5 linked regions of the Sus scrofa genome follow. The protein of the gene in region 3 interacts with the protein of the main gene of each other region in a pairwise test. Links are inferred from orthologs where the notes say so. Each region holds a gene or a part of one and is shown on either strand. Other genes may lie near its edges. The genes, in order: FASTK, ABI2, WIPF1, WWP2 and GRB2.

Region 1 (4,071 bases), on a different chromosome or scaffold from region 3:
GCTTCTTGGGCTGCAGACCCCACCCTGCTGGCCCCCCCGGCCCCCGGCCCCCTGGGACCCAGCCAGCCCTCCAGTCTCCGCACCACTGATGTGATTGATGAAACCTGGGGAAAAGACAAAGCGCAGGGCTCGGAAGGGCAGGCACCGCAGCTGGCACAGTGACATCAAGATGTTGACAGTTGCCAGGGGGGCCACCCCTGCTTCCCGAGCCAGGATCCTCTCGAGGCAGGGCATAAACTGCTCTTCCAGAGGCAGGTAGTTCAGCCGCCCAAAGGGCAGGACCAACTTCTGGACCACCTGTGGAGCAAAAGCAGCCCATCACCCAGCAGGAAAGGTTTCAACATCCTTCACAAGCTGAACCTCAGGGAGGCGTGGCTGCAAGCTTAGGACGTCACCGTGAAGGCAGGACAGCCCCTCTACATACACACCAGAAGTCCCGCAGCGTAAGCAGTGCTTGAGTCCCACGTGATTAGTCTCCAAACGCAGGAGACACAGCTGTGGGATCTGCCATGAAGGCAGCTAGGTCAGGGGTAAGAGTGTTTGGAAGACGGCAGTAAACCAGGCATACGAGCTGGGGAGGTGGACAAGCCAAAGAGGGTGTGGGCAAAGAAGGAACCCCACCGCACAGAGCAGAGGGCCTAGTGGGGGCTGCCTGCTGCAGGAAGCAGCTGCCCATCAAGCCGGATGGGGGTGGGGGGTGTTGGCCTGAGGGGGTGTCTGAGGATGACTGGGAGAGGAGCCGTGAAGGTGGGAGGTGGTCCCACCTTGCTGTTGAGCTGGGCTTCCTGGACCACCAAAAAGTGAGCAATAGCTTCCAGAAGCTGGGGTTCCCGCAACCGGTGGCGGGCCAGGTGCTGGGCCAGGAGCACCATCACTTGGGGAGTCAGTTCCTCTGGCCTGGCCTCTGTGAAGAACAGCCTCTTAAGCTGGACCCTAAGGCCGGACACCACCACCTGCCTCCTCCTTAGCTCCCCTCCGCCCATCAACCTTAACCCCCTCCGGCACCTGCCAGGCTGCGGATGAGGTGCTGCTGTGGATGCCGCAGGAAACGGGGGCAGCTCAAAGCAGCTTCCAACCTTTGCCCACCATGAAGGACAGGTTGCGGAGAGGGAGGCGGCTTCGAATGGAGGCGGCACCTGCGCTCCTGTTCCAGGGCACGCACCAGGGGCCCATCTGATGGGAAGCCTGAGAGGGAGAGGGTCAGTGGAGGCAGGCCTGGCAACGGGGTTGCTCTGCTCTGCTCCAGTCCTGGAGTCTAGCTAGTGAATTCCCCACCCTTTCACCTCCATTTCCTGGGCTGGAAGGTTTGCTATAGAGAATGTACATGTGTGGACATGCTGGAGAAATGCAAAAAACCACATGAACTAAGGTATCAGAACAGACGGAGGGTAAGGCCTTATACAAAGATGGCAAGTAAGTTCTCATGTCTTGCCAATGGTGACAAGTGGCAGAGGCTTCCTAGAACACTGCACTAGAAGGGAGCTGGAGTGGCACCCCAGCTAAGCCGCAGTGAATGTGCCGTTCCTGGCAAAGCCTGAAAGGTGGGTTCTGTCAGTGATCTTGGGTCCTCTACCGTTCTCTCCTCTCCATTAACACCCACCCCCAGACACCCTCCTCACCAAGTAAGACTGCGAGGTGCAGACACACGTGGATGGTGTGAATGTCAAAGGAGGGGCAGTTTCGGATGATGAGCTGACTCAAGTCCTGTAGTGTGGCCTGCTCCACGGGAGGGGGCCGTGGCTGGGACCCCAAGAGCTGACCCAGGCGACGAAGTGCCACAAGGTAGTGGTGGGCGTGGACCTTGGTGGGGTTCTGGCCCAGCCAGCGCAGCAGCTCCCCAGGGCTCCTTGCCTGTTCCAGAAGCCGCTGCAGCCCCTGCACAGGGCCTACATGGGAGCCTCCTCCAGGAGGCCGGTCCCCCCACTTGCTGGGCCCCAGACAGTAGGGCTGTACTGGCGGGAGCAGCAGCAGGCCAGAGAGCCGAGCGCTGGAGGCCTGGGCAGAGAGCAGGACTCGAAGCATGGAGTTGGGTGATGGAGACCCTGAGGGGTGGCCCAGAAAAGGGGGTGAGGTATTCTCCAAAGGGGAGAAAGGCCAGCTCTCTGCTCCTCACCTCACACTCCCCATCCAGAGGGGCCTGGGGTCGGAGCAACCCAGACTCAGGTTCGCCCTTCTTTGTGGCTACGCTGGTCCTCCACCCCACCCGCACCTCTCTGCCTCCTTCTACCCTTTGAGACAGCAAGCGAATCCTTCAGTGTTCTCGGCGTAGGGATATTCACAAAGCAACGCCACATACATGCTCTCCTCTGATCCTCCTGTGAGAAGGCAGGCAGGGCCAGCATCATCTCGCTTTCACAGGTGGAGAAACCAAGGCCCAGAAAGGCGAAGGGGTTAAGTTAAGCCCGAGGTCACGCATCTGGTTAGTGGTCGCGCTCAGCCTGGAGCCCAGCTCGCCCCAACGATACGCCCTCCCGACCACCTCCCCCTCCCGTAGGAGGCGGCGGCGGCGGCACGGAGGGTGGAACGCGGGATCCGCAGCCAGACGGTCCTGGGTTCCATGCTGGGCGCTCCCACTTACCAGCTGCGTGACCTTGGACAAGTGGCTTCGTCTCTCTGCCCAAGCCTCCTCGCCCGTGAAACGAGAACGCAGCGCCCACCTCGGAGGGCGCAGCTTTGCTATGGCGCGGAGTCGGTGGTGTCAGGGGGCCCCACACCCACCCGGCCAGGGGATGCCAGGAGACCGTAGTCACGGCCACCAACGCCAACTCCCGCCGCCCTCCCGCAGCCCGCCCCTCAGGCGCCACCCCTACATGACTCCCCGGGCCCCGCGCAGATCGCTCCCTCAGTCGGTCTCGGGGCCCGAGAGCCGGGCTCCCCCCGCGGCCTCCTCATCGGCGGGCCACCGAGTCCGCCATCTTCCCAGCAGCCCCCGGATCGCCGCCCAGACGCCAATCGCGGCACGGTCCTCCGCCAGCGGAGACGTGGCTCCCGTCAGGCCCCGCGCGCCAGGGTGCCGCGCGCCCCGCCCCCTGCTTCTGGGAAGCTGCGCGCGCGGCTCCGGGGCGGGGGCGGGACTAGGAGCGGGGCGGAGCCCAAGGGCGAGGAGCCGAGGATGCAGCGAAAAGCAGAGGGGAAGTCGGCAGCCAGCCTGGGCAGGTTGGGCAGGGCGAAGTGCCTGGTAAGTGGGAGCGCCCAGCACGGAACCTAGGACCGTCCGGCTGCGGATCCCGCGTTCTACCGTCTTTCTCCCAGTGGGCAGGAGCTCCCTGCCCCACGGGCCCACACAGGCAGGCACACACCAAGAGTGAAAACTTCACAGTTATTTAATCTGCACATGTTCCAGAGAACCCCCTCCTTCCCACCCACGCTCCCGTCCTTGGGTCCCTAAATCAGCTCAAGATGCTCTCAGGGACTAGAGGTGGCTGGGTTTTCAGGCAGAACACTAAGAAGGGCCTAGGGGCGTGGCCGGGCTCTGCCCAGGGCCGAGGCAGCGACAGCAGCTGTCTGACCCGGAGGAGCTGACTGTCCGTGGGGGCTGAGGGCCAGCAGCCCCAGAAGGTGGCCCAGAGCCATGAAGGTCACAGGGAGGGGCCTCCGCCGGCCCCCGGAGCGCTCTGCGGCGCAGGGCTGGGCTCCAGGGTAGTGGGAAGAGGCAAGTGGGAGAGGCCGGCCGGGGCAGACAGCAGCTCCCACCGTGTCGTGGGGAGCAAGGTCCGGAGGGGCCAGCGACACTGCCAAGAGCCCGTGGAGGCACTACGGGCGGTACATGGCAAAGGCCAGGAGACTGAGGAGTAGGGTGAAGCCGGCCAGACCCAGGGTGGCTGTCAGGGGAAAGAAGGGCCGGTACTGGATCTGGCAGTACCAGAGCAGCAGCAGCAGCAGCAGGAGCAGGGGCAGCAGGAGGCTGCCTACCTCCAGCCCGGAGGGGCCTGGCTCTGACCCCGGTGGGCAGGGTGGGTGTGGGGGACCCACCCGGGTGGACACGTGGCAGTGGAGAACGCAGTTGGGAGGGAGGTGAAGGCTGCCCAGGGTCTGGGTGTCGTCTCCTAGCAGCTGCCCTTGGTAGATGAG
Region 2 (3,515 bases), about 26 Mb from region 3:
AACCATGAGGTCACGGGTTCGATCCCTGGCCTTGCTCAGTGGGTTAAGGATCCAGTGTTGCCGTGAGCTGTGGTGTAGGTTGCAGACGCAGCTCAGATCTCGAGTTGCTGTGGCTCTGGTGTAGGCCGGCAGCTGCAGCTCCGATTCGACCCCTAGCCTGGGAATCTCCATGTGCCACAGCAGCGGCCCAAGAAATGGCAAAAAGACAAAAAAAAAAAAAAAAAAACCATATTCCATTTTGATTTACACGAATCAGAAACTAAACATGTATCCAGACATAAACATCTTATTGGTAAAAAAGAATTTAGAAAAATACAAATCTCCTTTTCATGACTTTTAAAAAGATATTATCTATTTGTTATTAAAGCAAATTAAATATGTAATATCCTATCCTTAATGTCTTTTGGGTCATGTTTTAAAAACTAAATTTTAACTGTGAGTCCTCAAATTAAACAAGTACATTTCTCTGTTTCAGATAAGATCGGGTGCATTCAGGGTGGTATAGCCATACATTATTTTGTTTCAGAGAAAAGCGGGTAGCATTTCAGTGATTATTAAGTTCCAGAGTCAGCTAAATTTAACTAGTTAATTATATCTGTCCAATCCTTGGTTACCAATCTGATCCTCACACTGGGTGCCCACTGTGTCCAAAGGCATGCACTGTCATAACACCAGCTGGAATTAAACACGTAACTCATTCCAAGGTGGTATCTGAAACCTCAAAGCACCACCTCAGCCATAGCACCAAATACATTAAACCAAATAACAGAGAAGTTTGTAACAAACTTACAAATCACTTGGCTAAAATAACAAATGGATAAAGATTTCTCAACATTTAGACTCTTAAAGGGAAAAAAAAAATCCAATTATGAAGAAAACCCACTGTAATTAAATCAGAAACTCAACTCAAGACTCCAAAAGGAGAGGTGATGATGAAGCACAATGCATGTTTTACCTGGAAAGACACTGGGTGGAGAGGGGGTGGGAACGGCAATGGGGACTCCCACACTCCCACTTCCACTGTTCTCCCGACTGCTGCTCCTACTGCTTGGATGGCTTCCTCCACTACTCCCGCTGCTGCTAAAGGAATAAGAGCCACCAAACCATGAGCATTTATATATGGTAAGGTATCACCAGCATTTTCCAAAATTTTCTGAAATGAATATAGCTATACGATGATAATTCCAAAGTCTTTCACTTCAAATATGAATTCCTTAACAGAGTAAAGGGAAAAGCCGAGTTCAAAAAAACTTGTTTTGGATACCTTTTAACGAGTATGTATTAAAGAAGTTGGGAAAGAAAAAAAATTCTCCATCAATGTAAGTGACAAATGATGGGGCTCAACACAGAAAAATAATACTCCTTTCTTTCATTCCAGTTTAAAATGGCTGCCTGAGGAATCTTTTTTATAATAAAAAGTTTTCCTAAACAGATTATTTGATTAATTTTATTTGCAACATCACGACTACCCCATACTAGTGTTTTATTGCGTATAGTTTTTCATCTGTAAAGTTCCACCAAAAAACAACTTGAAATTTCCCACATCCGGTCCACAATTTTTTTTCGGGTCAACTAAAACTATCGATCTTGTAAAGGAGTTTGCACTTTGAAAGGTTTGTTCTTTTTCAACTTGCTGATTGCTCAAATTTGCATCAGAACATGAGGAGAGAGAGGTGGAATCAGATGAGGTTTGGAGGAGTAGAGTGAGGAAAAGAACTTAGTGCTTGGAAAATGAGAAAGGTTTAACTGAAGTTATCTAAACAAATTATGGTACTATGACCATCACATTTTGCGCTGAGGTAGAGAAAATACCTGTAAGTTCGATTTCTTTGATTCACAGAAGCTGTCCTCACAGGGCTCTGCTGCGAGGGAGCCATATTACGGGTTGGGCTAGGTACGTAATCATTTGGTACCACTGGAGGACGCACTGGCTCCAGTGTGCGATAGGGGGAGTGCCGCCTACAAAAAGAAGAGCGTATGTAGCGTGTGATTAGCAAGTTTCGGCACAATAAATTCAGAGTTGCCAGTAGTGAAATACAATTTGTACTCGAGAGATAGTAAAATGTGTTTTAAAAAAACCCAGCTACCAATTTCAGTATAAGTATCACCTCACCATTAGGGTTTTGATGCTACTGTTATTTTTTAGTCTCTGACCTCATTTCCCTGTGCCAATGCAATTTTGTTCACTCATTCTGAGAGCATGAAGATTCTCCCACCTGGTAGGCCAATGTTTCCCAGACTCTCTTCTAAGATACGTTCAAAGTATTTTAGTGCCAAATCAAATTCTCCCAACTGCACTGTACGAATGCACTAATTGTCTTCCTCACCCCCTCTCTCCCTAACCAAAAGTATTCAAAAAGTAAGGTAAATAAATTTAGAATTTGGCTCCACAACCCCCACACTGATGATCAAGAGCAACAACAATTCAATTCCTTTTGTATACAGCTAGTACACAGAAATAAAACTGTATCTCCACACAGAGAAATAAACAATGGAATCTCATTCTCCATTCTCTCTTCACATCCTCCTTCAACTTCCACCCTGACTGCCCTTACCCTCTTCAGAGTTCAATATTCAAAAGGGAGAGAAGAAATAAAAAGTCACCTAAGTCTTTCTACCTTATTTACTTTGAACTGTAAAGTACAAAGTAAACTGGATTTCATTAGCATATTTCCCTTTTTTTCCCCTCAAAATTCCCTTTTAAAAGAAGAGAATGAGAAGAACAAGAAAGGAAATATGATAGGAAATAGGATACACACTGGAACACTAGTGATTATTTAAGTTAGTTCTCATCTTTACATTTCCAAATTTTTTATGACAAACACTCTGACATGAAACTGATACTGTATAGATGAGATTCTGGTCTTTAAAAAAAAAACAAAACTGGATTTCAACATGTGAAAATTAAAGACTCTTCTTCTCCTAAAATGACATTACTCACTTGACTTATGTATTTCTCAATAATTCACTCTCCTGGAGTTCCCGTCGTAGCTCAGCAGTTAGCAAACCTGACTAGGATCCATAAGGATGTAGGTTAGATCCCTGGCCTCTCTCTCAGTGGGTTAAGGATCTGGTATTGCCATGAGCTGTGGTGTAGGTCGCAGATGCGGCTTGGATCCTGCGTTGCTATGGCTGTGGCATAGGCCAGCGGCTACAGTTCCTACTGGACCTCTAGCTTGGGAACCTCCATATGCCGTGGGTATGGCCCTAAAATACACAAAAAGACCAAAAAAAAAAAGTAATAATTATAATTCACTTTCCCAAAAGCTCCCCAGGTTCCTTTAAACTGTTCTGGGCCACTCAAGGGCTGGCTCACTGATTTGGAATGAGGTCACTTTGCAATGACCGTGTCTGTTCTATTACCATCAAAATCTGGCATAAACAAATACACACATTATTAAAAATGAATCAGGGCACTAAATGAGACACTGGGTCAAAGAAAGAAAAATGAAGGTCAGAACCTTGGATTTAAAATATTCCATATGCCTCCAGGCGACCGAAAAAATAAAAATAAA
Region 3 (3,976 bases):
TGTCTCATTTGATTTCAACTGTGACCTGATTCACATATGTGGGTCCTGGTTATTCACAAGGCATAAGCCTACCAAACCTTCCAGCACTGTGGCATCACTGTGGCATCACTGTGGAATGTTGGTCACAGTGGCAGAGACCTCTGTATGAAAATCATTAGGAATTTGGTAGACCTCAGGCTTCAGGAAGACGATGGCTCTGGGAGGCAGAGTCCTAAATATCAGATGCTTAAAGTGAAGGGGCTACAGCAACAACCAAAAAGGTACTTTGCCTTCTGTTCTCCTGATGTGCACTGTAGAAGTCCTATCCATAGTTAAGAACACCCTGAAATAACCAAGACTGTGACATAGAGCCAGGGATGAATACTCCCCTCAAAAGCAGGCTCATCCCTGAGCAAAGCAACTGAGACAGTAAGTTTAACAGGTAAAGGGATACCACTTTCTCTCCACCAGCCCTGTCCCACTCCTTTAGCTTCTTTTTTTTTTTTTTTTTTTTTTTTGCTTTTGCTTTTTACGGCCACACCCACGGCATATCCCAGGCTAGGAGTAGAATCAGAGCTGTAGCCTCTGGCCTATGCCACAGCCACACAAGATCAGAGCCCCATCTGCAACCTACACCATAGCTCACGGCAACACAGGATCCTTAACCCACTGAGCAAGGCCAGGGCTCGAACCTGCAACCTTGTGGTTACTAGTTGGATTTGTTCCTGCAGAGCCGAGACGGGAACTCCCCTCCTTTAGCTCTTTATTGCTCTCATGTCATGGTGCTACATACTGCATGGTGCCCCTCTAATGCCTTGTGCTGTGCTGCTTTTTGCTGCTTCACACACCATTATCCCACTTGATCCTCACAGGATGAGATGGAGAAAGGGCAAAGGTTATCAACTCCATTTCTTGGATAAGTGAGGCTCAAGTTGCACAATACACATGATATGCCTAAAGGACCAGAAAGTGACACTTAATTGGTGAAATGAACAAACAAATGAAAGGCATGAATCTCTACAGCTGGAAATAATCTCACTGTCTCTAAATGAACCCACATCTGATCTTACCTTGCTTACAAATCTTTTTGCTCTACATCACAAAAACCTAAGAGTTTTTGTGCTGCTCAGGGAGCCAAAAAAGATGATGAGGTTACTAGAATAGTCTAATAACCACTGCAAAGTCCAGTCTGCACAATTCCACTCAACGGGTAATGGGCTGCTACAGGTAGCTGGGGATTTGGTCCCTGAGACTCAGCCCTGTGAAGATGACAGATGAGTCAAGATACACAAGAGGAGAAAGCAGTCTTGTGAGCACTGTAAAGAGGAATTAAGATGCAAATGCCAATGGCCTATGCTGATTTTCTCACCTCCAGAAGTCCAAGGGTATTTCATAAAAACTGAAAATGAAAACTCTTTGGAGTTATTTTAACCGTTAACAGAAAAAGGCTTTTTCTGAGGAGGAAAAATATGCCAACGACTCAAAATGAAGCTACAGTATTGTTTTGGAATTGCCTTGGGAAACTGGCAAAAGAAAACCCACCCAGGGTGGGATTCGGTCCAGCGGCTCCGCGGCTGCACCGCCTAAAGTCTGGGACTACACTCGGCCAGTGATTGGGGGTGGAATCCAGTGACTATTCAGGGGACAACGGTGTCACACAATTTTCACAAAATGGGACCAAGTCCACCCAGTCACTGCTGACAACTTGAGAGGCTTCCCAGAGAACTGAGATAAAGTCAGCAGCCCGTGGCCCAGGAAGGAATATGTATTCCTCTGGGATTAAGCAGGACCAGAGGACCTGGCCAGGCTCGGTTCCTCACAGACACACCCTTTGTTAAGCTCCAGGAGTCCAAAGTCTAACCACGAGTTGAAGATTTGGGTCGCCCGGATTGGGTCAGCTGGTTTCTCTTACGCTTGCAACTTTCTCTAACAGTACTTTAAAAAAAGAAGAAAAAAAAAATATGTTAACAGAAAAAGTAGAGGGAGTGAGACTGAAGTGAAGCCGTTCCGAAAGTTCCGGAGAGGCCCTGGGGGGAAAAGAGCTGACGGGGACTGGACGTCCTTTAAGGTCACCGCACACATCTAACGCAAGCGTCTACACTGCCCGCAGCGCGAGGCTCAGCCTGGGGCACCCGGCGGGAGGCGAGTCTGGGAAGCCGCGTTGCGGGATGGGCACAACTCCCCTGAGAAGAAGCAGAGGCAGCTCCCTGGCAGAAACTGGCCTCGGGGTGCCCTAAAGTCTCCATTCGCCTGTCATGGGTGGGGTAGACGCGGCCCCAGCGCATCGCAGCGAAGCCCCTGCCGTGGGTACCTAAGCCGGGAGCCGGGCCGAGCCCCCGGGTGGCCGGAGATCTGCGGAGCCCAGCGGCGCGCCCAGCCCAGAAGGCGCCCGCGTCCGGACCCTCACGGTCCGCCGCCCCTTCCTTCTCTGCCCGCGGGTACTGGACGCGCAAGCCGCGGGGCCCGAGTCCGCCCCTCCCGAGACCGCGCGCCCGCCCCCGCCCGCAGCGGACGCAGCCCCGACGTCCCCGCGGCCCCCGCCCGCGCCCACCCGGCGCCGAGCCGAGATGCCCAGCCCAGCCCTCCTCGGGGTCCCTGGGGGCCTAGAGGGTCTCCACGGGCGCTGCCCTGAGTCCCCGGAACCCGGTCGCGCCCTTGGCAGCGGCAGCGGCGCGTCCCTTACCGTGCAACGGCTCCGGGCAGCTCCAGGGCCCTGCGGCGCGCCGGGCATTTTTCTTAGGGAAACTTCTCCCCGGTTCGTAGGGCTGAGCCGGCCGGGCAGGAAAAGCGCTCAGCGCCGGGAGGCTGCGACCATCCGGGAACTTCGCTGGGATGTAAACCCTCCCCCTCGGCTCCCCGTCCCCCCCGCCCCCCCTGCGGCCCCGCCGCATGTGGACGCGCCGCGAGGCCGCTGCCGGCCCTTCGCCTCCTCTCTGTGCGCCGCGCCCGCGCTGCCTGGAGCTGAGGCTCTGCGCCCCACGGCCTAGGGCCTCGACGGAGCGTGGCAGCAATGGGGCGATTGGAAGCTGGGGCTCCTGTGTCGCTCCTTCCCCTCCCCTGGGTTTGCAAAGAGGTGGGAACTGGAAGGGGTGTCCAGCTCCAGGGCCCTTTCCTCCGAAGACTCCACAGCTTCCCGCTGTCGGGGTCCCTTCACCACCGCCATCACCACCCCCGTACCCGACCCCCCGCAACCCCAAGAGAGGGAAAGACTTTTCCCGGCCTTCTCTGTCCTCAGAGAGTCCGGCTTGGAAACACCTTAAATTGAAATTCATCTTAAAAAAATGAATTTTAAAATGGAGTGGCACCCACAAAGACCCAAGGTCCACCTGCATCTTTCTCTCTGCCCACTGTGTGGGGACAGCAGTGCTCGTCTTATGGAAAGAAGGCAAGTCCCCCCACCAAGAACCAGCAGGATTCTCTGAGTAGTTCCACTCCTAGTAGGGATGTAGCTAATCAGCCACCCACATCCTCAAATATGGTAGCACCAGCAGCAAACAGTTGGAGAAACCTGAGGTTCTACGCCATTGCCGGAGCTGTTACTGACCAGCTCTGAAAGCGGCCACCTCCAGGATCCAAGCACAAGCTCACACTAAGACAACACAGATGTTAGAATCTATGTGTTTGAAAAGAACAACAAATTGTGATCGATATAATAACCATGTAATCATATTACATGGTTAAAATGTTAAACCATTAAAATGGTTTTCATGTTTATTCATGTTAAAATACCAAGGCTGTATATCCCTCGAATAAAAGCAGGACAGGTGGGAATACATGCACTTCAGAATGGATGTCCTAGCTTGAAGAGGCCCTTCATCCTTGACTTTAGGCTGTCTGCTTGTAGGCCAGTCCCCATGTGCACCTTTGCACCTTGACATGCTCTTAACAGATACAATAATTCTTCTGGGAAAGAGATTTAGTAACATGGGTAAACTTCTCAATGACAAACTTTTGTCCCTGAATGAACCCATCTTTGGGTAAGCTTTTCTTTTTCAGC
Region 4 (3,515 bases), on a different chromosome or scaffold from region 3:
CCAGACTTCTCTCCCTCGAACAACCCAGAGCCATCGTGAGTCCATTGGGGCTAGAGGTAGATACTGTCCCGAGGAGATCAGAGCTGTGTCTGAGCTCCCAAACGCTGCCCCGTCTCGAAGCACGCACTTAGGTGTAAGGCCGAGATGGCATTGTGCGTGCCTACAACCCCAGATGTGGATTTGCGCATAAGCAGCATAGAGGTTTTGTTAGGATGTGGGAGCTTTAGGACAAAATTTTGCCTTTAAGCCGGAGGGGACATAGGCCCGGTGGTGCAGAGCGCTGATCGGAGAGGCATGAGGGGAAATGCAGCCACCCCACAGTGACCCTGCCTGTGAGACAGGCACCCGGGTCACTGCATCCAGTGGGCGGAGCGGTTGCAGGACCAGAGAGCAGCAGCGATGGACTGGGGTGGGGACCCGGGTTGAGGGGAGGCTGGGCTGTGCCTCCACTTTGCACACAGCTGGTTGCAATTACGCCTCTGGGTTCAGCTGGGCTGCCCCCCCTCGTGTTGCCACACCACCCCCTTCTCTCCCGCAGACCCACCCACCGAAGACGGTGCTTGATCTTGAGTTGAAAACGTGTCTATCCCTCCTCCCCAGAAAGGAAAGGGCTCCTTGTCCTTTTTGCCAGTGACGGATATGAGAGCCAGGCTCTGGGTGGTTAAACTTCTCTGACAGCTTGGGACCAGGAGCAGGCATTCAGAGCCAGCAGCCGGGAGGCGGGAGCCAGAGGGGAGAGGGATGTGGGCTCAAGATGTCTCAATCTGAGCGTCTTTTCCTTTTTTTTCTTTCTTCTCCTCTGGCAGAGAAGAGACAGGACAATGGACGGGTGTATTACGTGAACCATAACACACGCACTACCCAGTGGGAGGATCCTCGGACCCAGGGGTAAGGACTCACACCAGGAGAGGTCTGAGCTGGGCCCCTGTGCAGCTCTAGCCCTGGCCCAGGAGCCTGCATGCGTCCTCCATGGCCGATGTTCTGGGACCCTTAGCCACACACGGGTGCCCCGAGACCCTCACGATCTGATGTCTGCCCAGTGAGAGCTTGTGAGTGGCACCTTAAATTGACCTTCCTTGTGGACAGAGAGTGGCCTGGTGGGCAGGTGTTGCTGGTCTCTGTACCAGCTGTGCAGGCTGCCGATTGTGTGATTTCAGAAGGGCCGAGAACTTCCCCCTCATCCTAAAACTCTGTTCTTCCCAGCCTCCCAGAAGCTAGTCTGGGAGAGGGGTACTTGGTGTCCTGGCATTGTTGGTAGATGCTCAGACCACGGCCATCCACCCAGGGCTGGTTCTTTGGCTTTGGGACAATAGATGGCCTCTCTCTGCTGCAAAACTGTCCTCAGGGTTCAGGCATTGCCAAGTGCATTTGCTCAAGGCCCACCTTCAAGGGCTCAGCAGGGCCTGGGAAAAGCAGAAATAAAGCAGCCCTGTGGGACCCCAGCCTCCTTAGCCTGGAGGCCCAGCAGGTGAAATTTGCCTTCAACCCCTCTCTTCCCATGTTGCCAGGATGATCCAGGAGCCAGCTCTGCCTCCGGGGTGGGAGATGAAGTACACCAGCGAGGGGGTGCGTTACTTCGTGGACCACAACACCCGAACCACCACCTTTAAGGATCCTCGCCCCGGGTTTGAGTCTGGGTAAGGACCTGGCACAGGTGATACCCCGCTCTGTTAGCTCAGGCCGGGTCCAGCTGTTCTCACTGCCCTCTAGCGGCCAACTTTGATGTCACACTTTTTTTTTGGTCTTTTTAGGTCTACACCAGAGGCATATGGAGGTTCCCAGGCTAGGGGTCTCATTGGAGCTGTAGATGCCAGCCTACACCACAGCCACAGCAGTGCCATATCCGAGCTGCGTCTGCGACCACACTGTAGCTCACGGCAGTGCCAGATCCTTAACCCACTGAGCGAGGCCAGGGATCGAACCTGCATCCTTGCGCATGCTAGTCAGATTTGCTTCTGCTGAGCCAGGATGGGAACTCCTGATGTCACCCTTTAATCAGTGTGAGTGGGGAGAGGGAAGGGGCTCCTTTGTTCAGAATAACACTGGCGGTCTTTCTCTAAAAGCAAGAGGTCTGGCTTTGTTTCTATTTTTTTCGTTTGAATCTTCAAATCTGCAGATGGTCTTAATGGCAGTCACTTCCTTTCTCTTACGCCTACTTCGCTCATCTTTAAATTAACGTGGCATCAGCTTTCCTTAGGGCTAACAAGATATGTTTTTGAGAAACCCCATGGATTCCCGAGCATCTTTGCTCTTCCTAGGACAAAGCAAGGTTCCCCTGGTGCCTACGACCGAAGTTTCCGGTGGAAGTATCACCAGTTCCGCTTCCTCTGCCACGTGAGTTCTGGTAGTAGGGCTCCCAACCCCCCAACCCCTGAAATTATAGTTTCGGCCCAATTTCTAGCCCAGGAGCAGGCGCTGGAATGCCTGTGTCTTAGGTGGGAGCCGGTCACTCATCTCACCCAAGGGGTTATGTGACATTATCTCCAGGAAGCCGGCTTCCTTTCCTAGGGCATCAAGTTGTTCCTTCTTGGCCCAGGGTGGGTGGGGAAGCCTATTCAGACAGACAGGTGATCAGGCGGAAGACTTGCCACCAAGGCCCCAGCTGGAGGTTTGTTTCTCTTTTCTTTTCAGTCAAATGCTCTCCCCAGCCACGTGAAGATCAGCGTCTCCAGGCAGACACTTTTTGAGGATTCTTTCCAACAGGTTAGAGAATAATCTTCATGTCTGAAACCAGAGGGCCGGCAGAAGGCCCCCTCCTGCAACCCGTCTTCTGTCATGTGGCCTTTTAAGCCCATAGAAGTAGAATTTTCAAGGCGTGGTCCACGGTGACCGGTATCTGCCGAAGAGCAGGCCTAGAAGTCCCCCGTCCCCTGCCCCCGGCCTGCCGTGGACTGGAGAGTGGCAGGCTGGCTCAGTCTTCTATCTCCCCAGATCATGAATATGAAGCCCTACGACCTGCGCCGCCGGCTCTACATTATCATGCGCGGCGAGGAGGGCCTGGACTATGGAGGCATCGCCAGGTGAGCTGGGTGCCCCTGGAGGGCTGTGCTGCACCCCACTTCCCCGGGGCCGCAGAGCCCATGGCTGGAAAGCTGCCTCCTCCCTTCTCAGACAGTTGCCAGAGCTCCCCTGCACCTGCAGGAGTGGGCACGGGTGTGGCGGGTCTGAAGGGGTGCTGGAGCAGGGTCTTGGGGTCCCCTGCTGGGCTAGGCATCAACCCTGTAGTTACCGGGTCATGGGGAGGCTGAGGGGCTTTGTGGGGAGGGGCTCACTCAAGACAGTAGCTCTACCCACCAACATCATTATGTCTGTATTTCACCCAGTCCGTCTGACCCGTGGGCAGGGGAAAAATACCGGTGTTGAGTGGTTGTCCATGAAAGCTGACCCTGGGCCTCACTTCCTCTTGAGGCAGCCGGGGCATGCTGAGTTGGGAGTCATGGTATGTACCTGCCGTGCATAGGCTGTGTCACCCTCCAGAGGGCATTGATCAATACCCAGCTGTAGGTCATGTGCAC
Region 5 (2,888 bases), on a different chromosome or scaffold from region 3:
GCACTATGAAAAACAACATGCTCAAAACACCACTTGGAGGGAAAACCACGTGGAAAGGGACACAGGTTAGGGCCCGGCCTGCAGGAAGCCCCGAGGGGCGCCACCCCCTCCGCCACCCCAGTCCACGTCCACACGTGGGGTGGGCTGGGAGGGGGCCGGCCCTGCTCCCCCCGCTCCCCCGGCAGAAGCTGAGCAGCACGGGCCTCCCGCTCCCGCCCGCTGTCCGAGTGCACAGGCGGGACATGGAAGCGGCTGTTCTTCTTTCTGTTGTTCCAGCTAAAACAGACATTTTGCATAGAGAAAATATCAGCCCACGTGGTTTCTTTTCTTTTATTATTGGCAACAGCTAGGACTATATGCGGCATTGAACGTCATGCACTGATGGACAGAAGAGAAAAAGGATGAAAAAAGGACAAAGGAGGAGGAGGAGCAGCGGTGAAAATTTGTAATAAAAACTCTTCTTAATTTATAGGTAAGTTTTGGCATTATATCCAACGCCCCCGCCCACCCCCCCGAGTTCCAACCGAAGTGAGAGGGTCACCAGGTGACCCAGCCAGGGGTTCCGAGCTCCCTCACAGGCTGCTGTTAGAGGCAGCTCATGGGTTTAATTCTTTTGCACGTGTTTAAAATTCTTCATTTTCTTTAAATAATCTTCTCTTGACTCTTAGACGTTCCGGTTCACAGGGGTGACGTAATTGCGCGGAAACATGCCGGTCTGCCCGTGGCAAGCCCCCTTCCACCAGTTGGGGTCCGAGTTATCCATGACGTGGATAAAGTCTCCCCGACGGAAGCCCAGCTCACCATCCTCCTGGGGGTCAAAGTCAAAGAGGGCCTGGACGTATGTCGGTTGCTGCAGAGAGGCAGGGAGAAAACACATTGCATTCCCGACGGCGGCCAGCCCCTCGCGCTGGTGACGGGAACCCGAGGCGTGCCAGCCTTGCCACATGACCTGAAATAACCCCTCCTTCCGCCTCCCCTCTCCACCAGTTCTTCCAGAGCCTTGGTGGACCCCGGGTGGGCGGACTCTTTCAGCCACAGCAACACGAGAGTGTACCCAGGGTGGCCAGCTGTGCAGGGCATCGAGCAGAGGGCAGCAAGTTCAGCTTTAAGGGGAGAGAACTTCAGAAACAGCCAGTGGGGCTTCGTTTACAATCCCAGAGGTGCAAAAGTTTTACTTCCTATCACCTTAACACTTATAAAATCCTTCGGGTTTTATGGTCAGAGGCTAAGAGCCTGAATGAAGTGCGGTGGTGCCCACCAGAACACAGGACAGCGAACACAGGACTGAGGGGACCCCGCCCCTCACACGCCTGATCTTCCCCGCAGCTCAGTGCCAGGGAACGGCTACCTGAGGGTGTGTTCAAGTGTACCTTAGAGACCCACGGCTTCAGGGAAGCAGCCTCTGGAGGGGGCAAGACTATTATTTTTTTGTTTCAAACTTCAAATCTTTAACACGAATTAAGGATAACATTTTGGATAAGGAGCAAAAAAGGCCCAGAGGTAAACCCTCTGAAAGAACACCTGCTGGCCTGAGGCGCCACCCTTCACTGATAAAAGGGACCCCCATCTCTCCCTTACGAAGCTCACCTGTGGCACCTGTTCTATGTCCCGGAGGAATATCTGCTGGTTTCTGGAGACGGATGTAGATCTGTGATAATCTACCAGCTCATTCAAAGAATTGAACTTCACCACCCAGAGGAAGTACTTGCCAGCGCCGTCCCGGAGCACCTTGAAGTGCTGCACATCATTGCCAAACCTGGGGAGGGCAGAGGACACAGTGAGAACAGGTCCCAGGGCTCTGTCCTGGCTGCCAGGGGCCACCTGCCGAGCAAGGAGCCATCCTGGGAGAACTCATGTTCTGGCCGCGCCCCGCACAGCCTGAGGGCCCGGGGCTGGAGCACAGCTTGACCGGCTGGCTGGAGAGGCAGGACAGTCACCAAGCGCCCTGACCCCTCCGTTTCGGCCGACAATGACCAGTGTCAACATGAAGACACCTCTCCAGACACAGAAACCTTGTCAGACTAATTCTGAAGAAGTTTGCAAATAAAAAAGAGAAATGTCCTAACCTGTGGAAGCCGCTCCCTGCCCTGTACCAAAAGATAAAAGGACTAAAATCTTGTATGATATTTAAAGAGACTACAAGAGACAGGACAGGAAATAAGGTGAGAAGGGATGGGACATACTTCTAGCGATTTTCCTGTACCTAGGAAAGGTTTAAAGCCATATTTTCTTTTCTCTCTCTCTTTGTTGTTTGTTTGTCTTTTTAGGGCTGCACCTGCAGCACATGGAGGTTCCCAGGCTAGAAGTCAAACTGAGCTATAGCCACCAGCCTACACCACAGCCACCGCAATGCCGGATCCAAGACGGATCTGTGATCTACACCACAGCTCACAGCAACACCAGATCCTTAACCCAGTGAGTGAGGCCAGGGATCGAACCTGTGTCCTCATGGATGCTAGTCAGATTTGTTTCCACTGAGCCACGACAGGAACTCCGAAAAGTCCTGTTTTCTGCTCAAGGATTTTAGGTCTACTTGTGGGGAGAAGATCTCAGAACAAAACATGCTGGGACACTAAAAAGGCCCAGGCACCTCCTACCCCCTCCCCTCTACCACCTGGTAAAGCGGTAAATGCCACCTTTCACGCTGGCCCAGAAAACCAGCCCGAGCCTGGCTGAGTGGGCCGGCCCACAGACACCGTGCTGTCGGCCCAGCACATCAGCTCCACCAAGGCGCTGCCCGTCCCTCACAAGGCACTCTACAACCATCTGCAAAACGAGCGGAGGACTCTCTTCTGCCATTGGTTTTAAGGCATTAACGCGTCTTAAAAACAACCCAGCAGGTGGCAGCACTGAGCTTTAAGGAAGCCACGAGTAGGAAGCGCTTAGAA

What was found.
Region 1: the proteins of WIPF1 (region 3) and FASTK interact in binary tests that used the Homo sapiens proteins (3 or more experiments, as listed by UniProt). The two-hybrid records come from large-scale screens. The link is inferred for Sus scrofa from reciprocal best matches to the Homo sapiens genes WIPF1 and FASTK.
Region 2: the proteins of WIPF1 (region 3) and ABI2 interact in binary tests that used the Homo sapiens proteins (3 or more experiments, as listed by UniProt). The link is inferred for Sus scrofa from reciprocal best matches to the Homo sapiens genes WIPF1 and ABI2.
Region 4: the proteins of WIPF1 (region 3) and WWP2 interact in binary tests that used the Homo sapiens proteins (3 or more experiments, as listed by UniProt). The two-hybrid records come from large-scale screens. The link is inferred for Sus scrofa from reciprocal best matches to the Homo sapiens genes WIPF1 and WWP2.
Region 5: the proteins of WIPF1 (region 3) and GRB2 interact in binary tests that used the Homo sapiens proteins (3 or more experiments, as listed by UniProt). The link is inferred for Sus scrofa from reciprocal best matches to the Homo sapiens genes WIPF1 and GRB2.

The regions. Positions count from the first base shown.
Region 1 is NC_010460.4:6,144,130-6,148,200, reverse strand, and holds the start of FASTK (fas-activated serine/threonine kinase), read right to left. Parts: upstream 2,805-4,071; 5' UTR 2,346-2,804; coding exon 2,228-2,345; intron 2,043-2,227; coding exon 1,620-2,042; intron 1,186-1,619; coding exon 1,006-1,185; intron 905-1,005; coding exon 765-904; intron 298-764; coding exon 84-297; intron 1-83. Other genes in the region: TMUB1 (transmembrane and ubiquitin-like domain-containing protein 1), read right to left, coding at 3,754-4,071. UniProt on the Homo sapiens protein: Phosphorylates the splicing regulator TIA1, thereby promoting the inclusion of FAS exon 6, which leads to an mRNA encoding a pro-apoptotic form of the receptor.
Region 2 is NC_010457.5:106,856,694-106,860,208, reverse strand, and holds part of ABI2 (abl interactor 2), read right to left. Parts: intron 1,960-3,515; coding exon 1,813-1,959; intron 1,081-1,812; coding exon 956-1,080; intron 1-955. UniProt on the Homo sapiens protein: Regulator of actin cytoskeleton dynamics underlying cell motility and adhesion. Functions as a component of the WAVE complex, which activates actin nucleating machinery Arp2/3 to drive lamellipodia formation.
Region 3 is NC_010457.5:80,643,648-80,647,623, forward strand, and holds the start of WIPF1 (WAS/WASL-interacting protein family member 1), read right to left. Parts: upstream 2,816-3,976; 5' UTR 2,663-2,815; intron 1-2,662. UniProt on the Homo sapiens protein: Plays a role in the reorganization of the actin cytoskeleton. Contributes with NCK1 and GRB2 in the recruitment and activation of WASL.
Region 4 is NC_010448.4:17,077,982-17,081,496, reverse strand, and holds part of WWP2 (NEDD4-like E3 ubiquitin-protein ligase WWP2), read left to right. Parts: intron 1-806; coding exon 807-888; intron 889-1,508; coding exon 1,509-1,637; intron 1,638-2,258; coding exon 2,259-2,334; intron 2,335-2,631; coding exon 2,632-2,703; intron 2,704-2,931; coding exon 2,932-3,020; intron 3,021-3,515. UniProt on the Homo sapiens protein: E3 ubiquitin-protein ligase which accepts ubiquitin from an E2 ubiquitin-conjugating enzyme in the form of a thioester and then directly transfers the ubiquitin to targeted substrates.
Region 5 is NC_010454.4:6,006,720-6,009,607, reverse strand, and holds the end of GRB2 (growth factor receptor-bound protein 2), read right to left. Parts: intron 1,757-2,888; coding exon 1,588-1,756; intron 851-1,587; coding exon 665-850; 3' UTR 513-664; downstream 1-512. UniProt on the Homo sapiens protein: Non-enzymatic adapter protein that plays a pivotal role in precisely regulated signaling cascades from cell surface receptors to cellular responses, including signaling transduction and gene expression.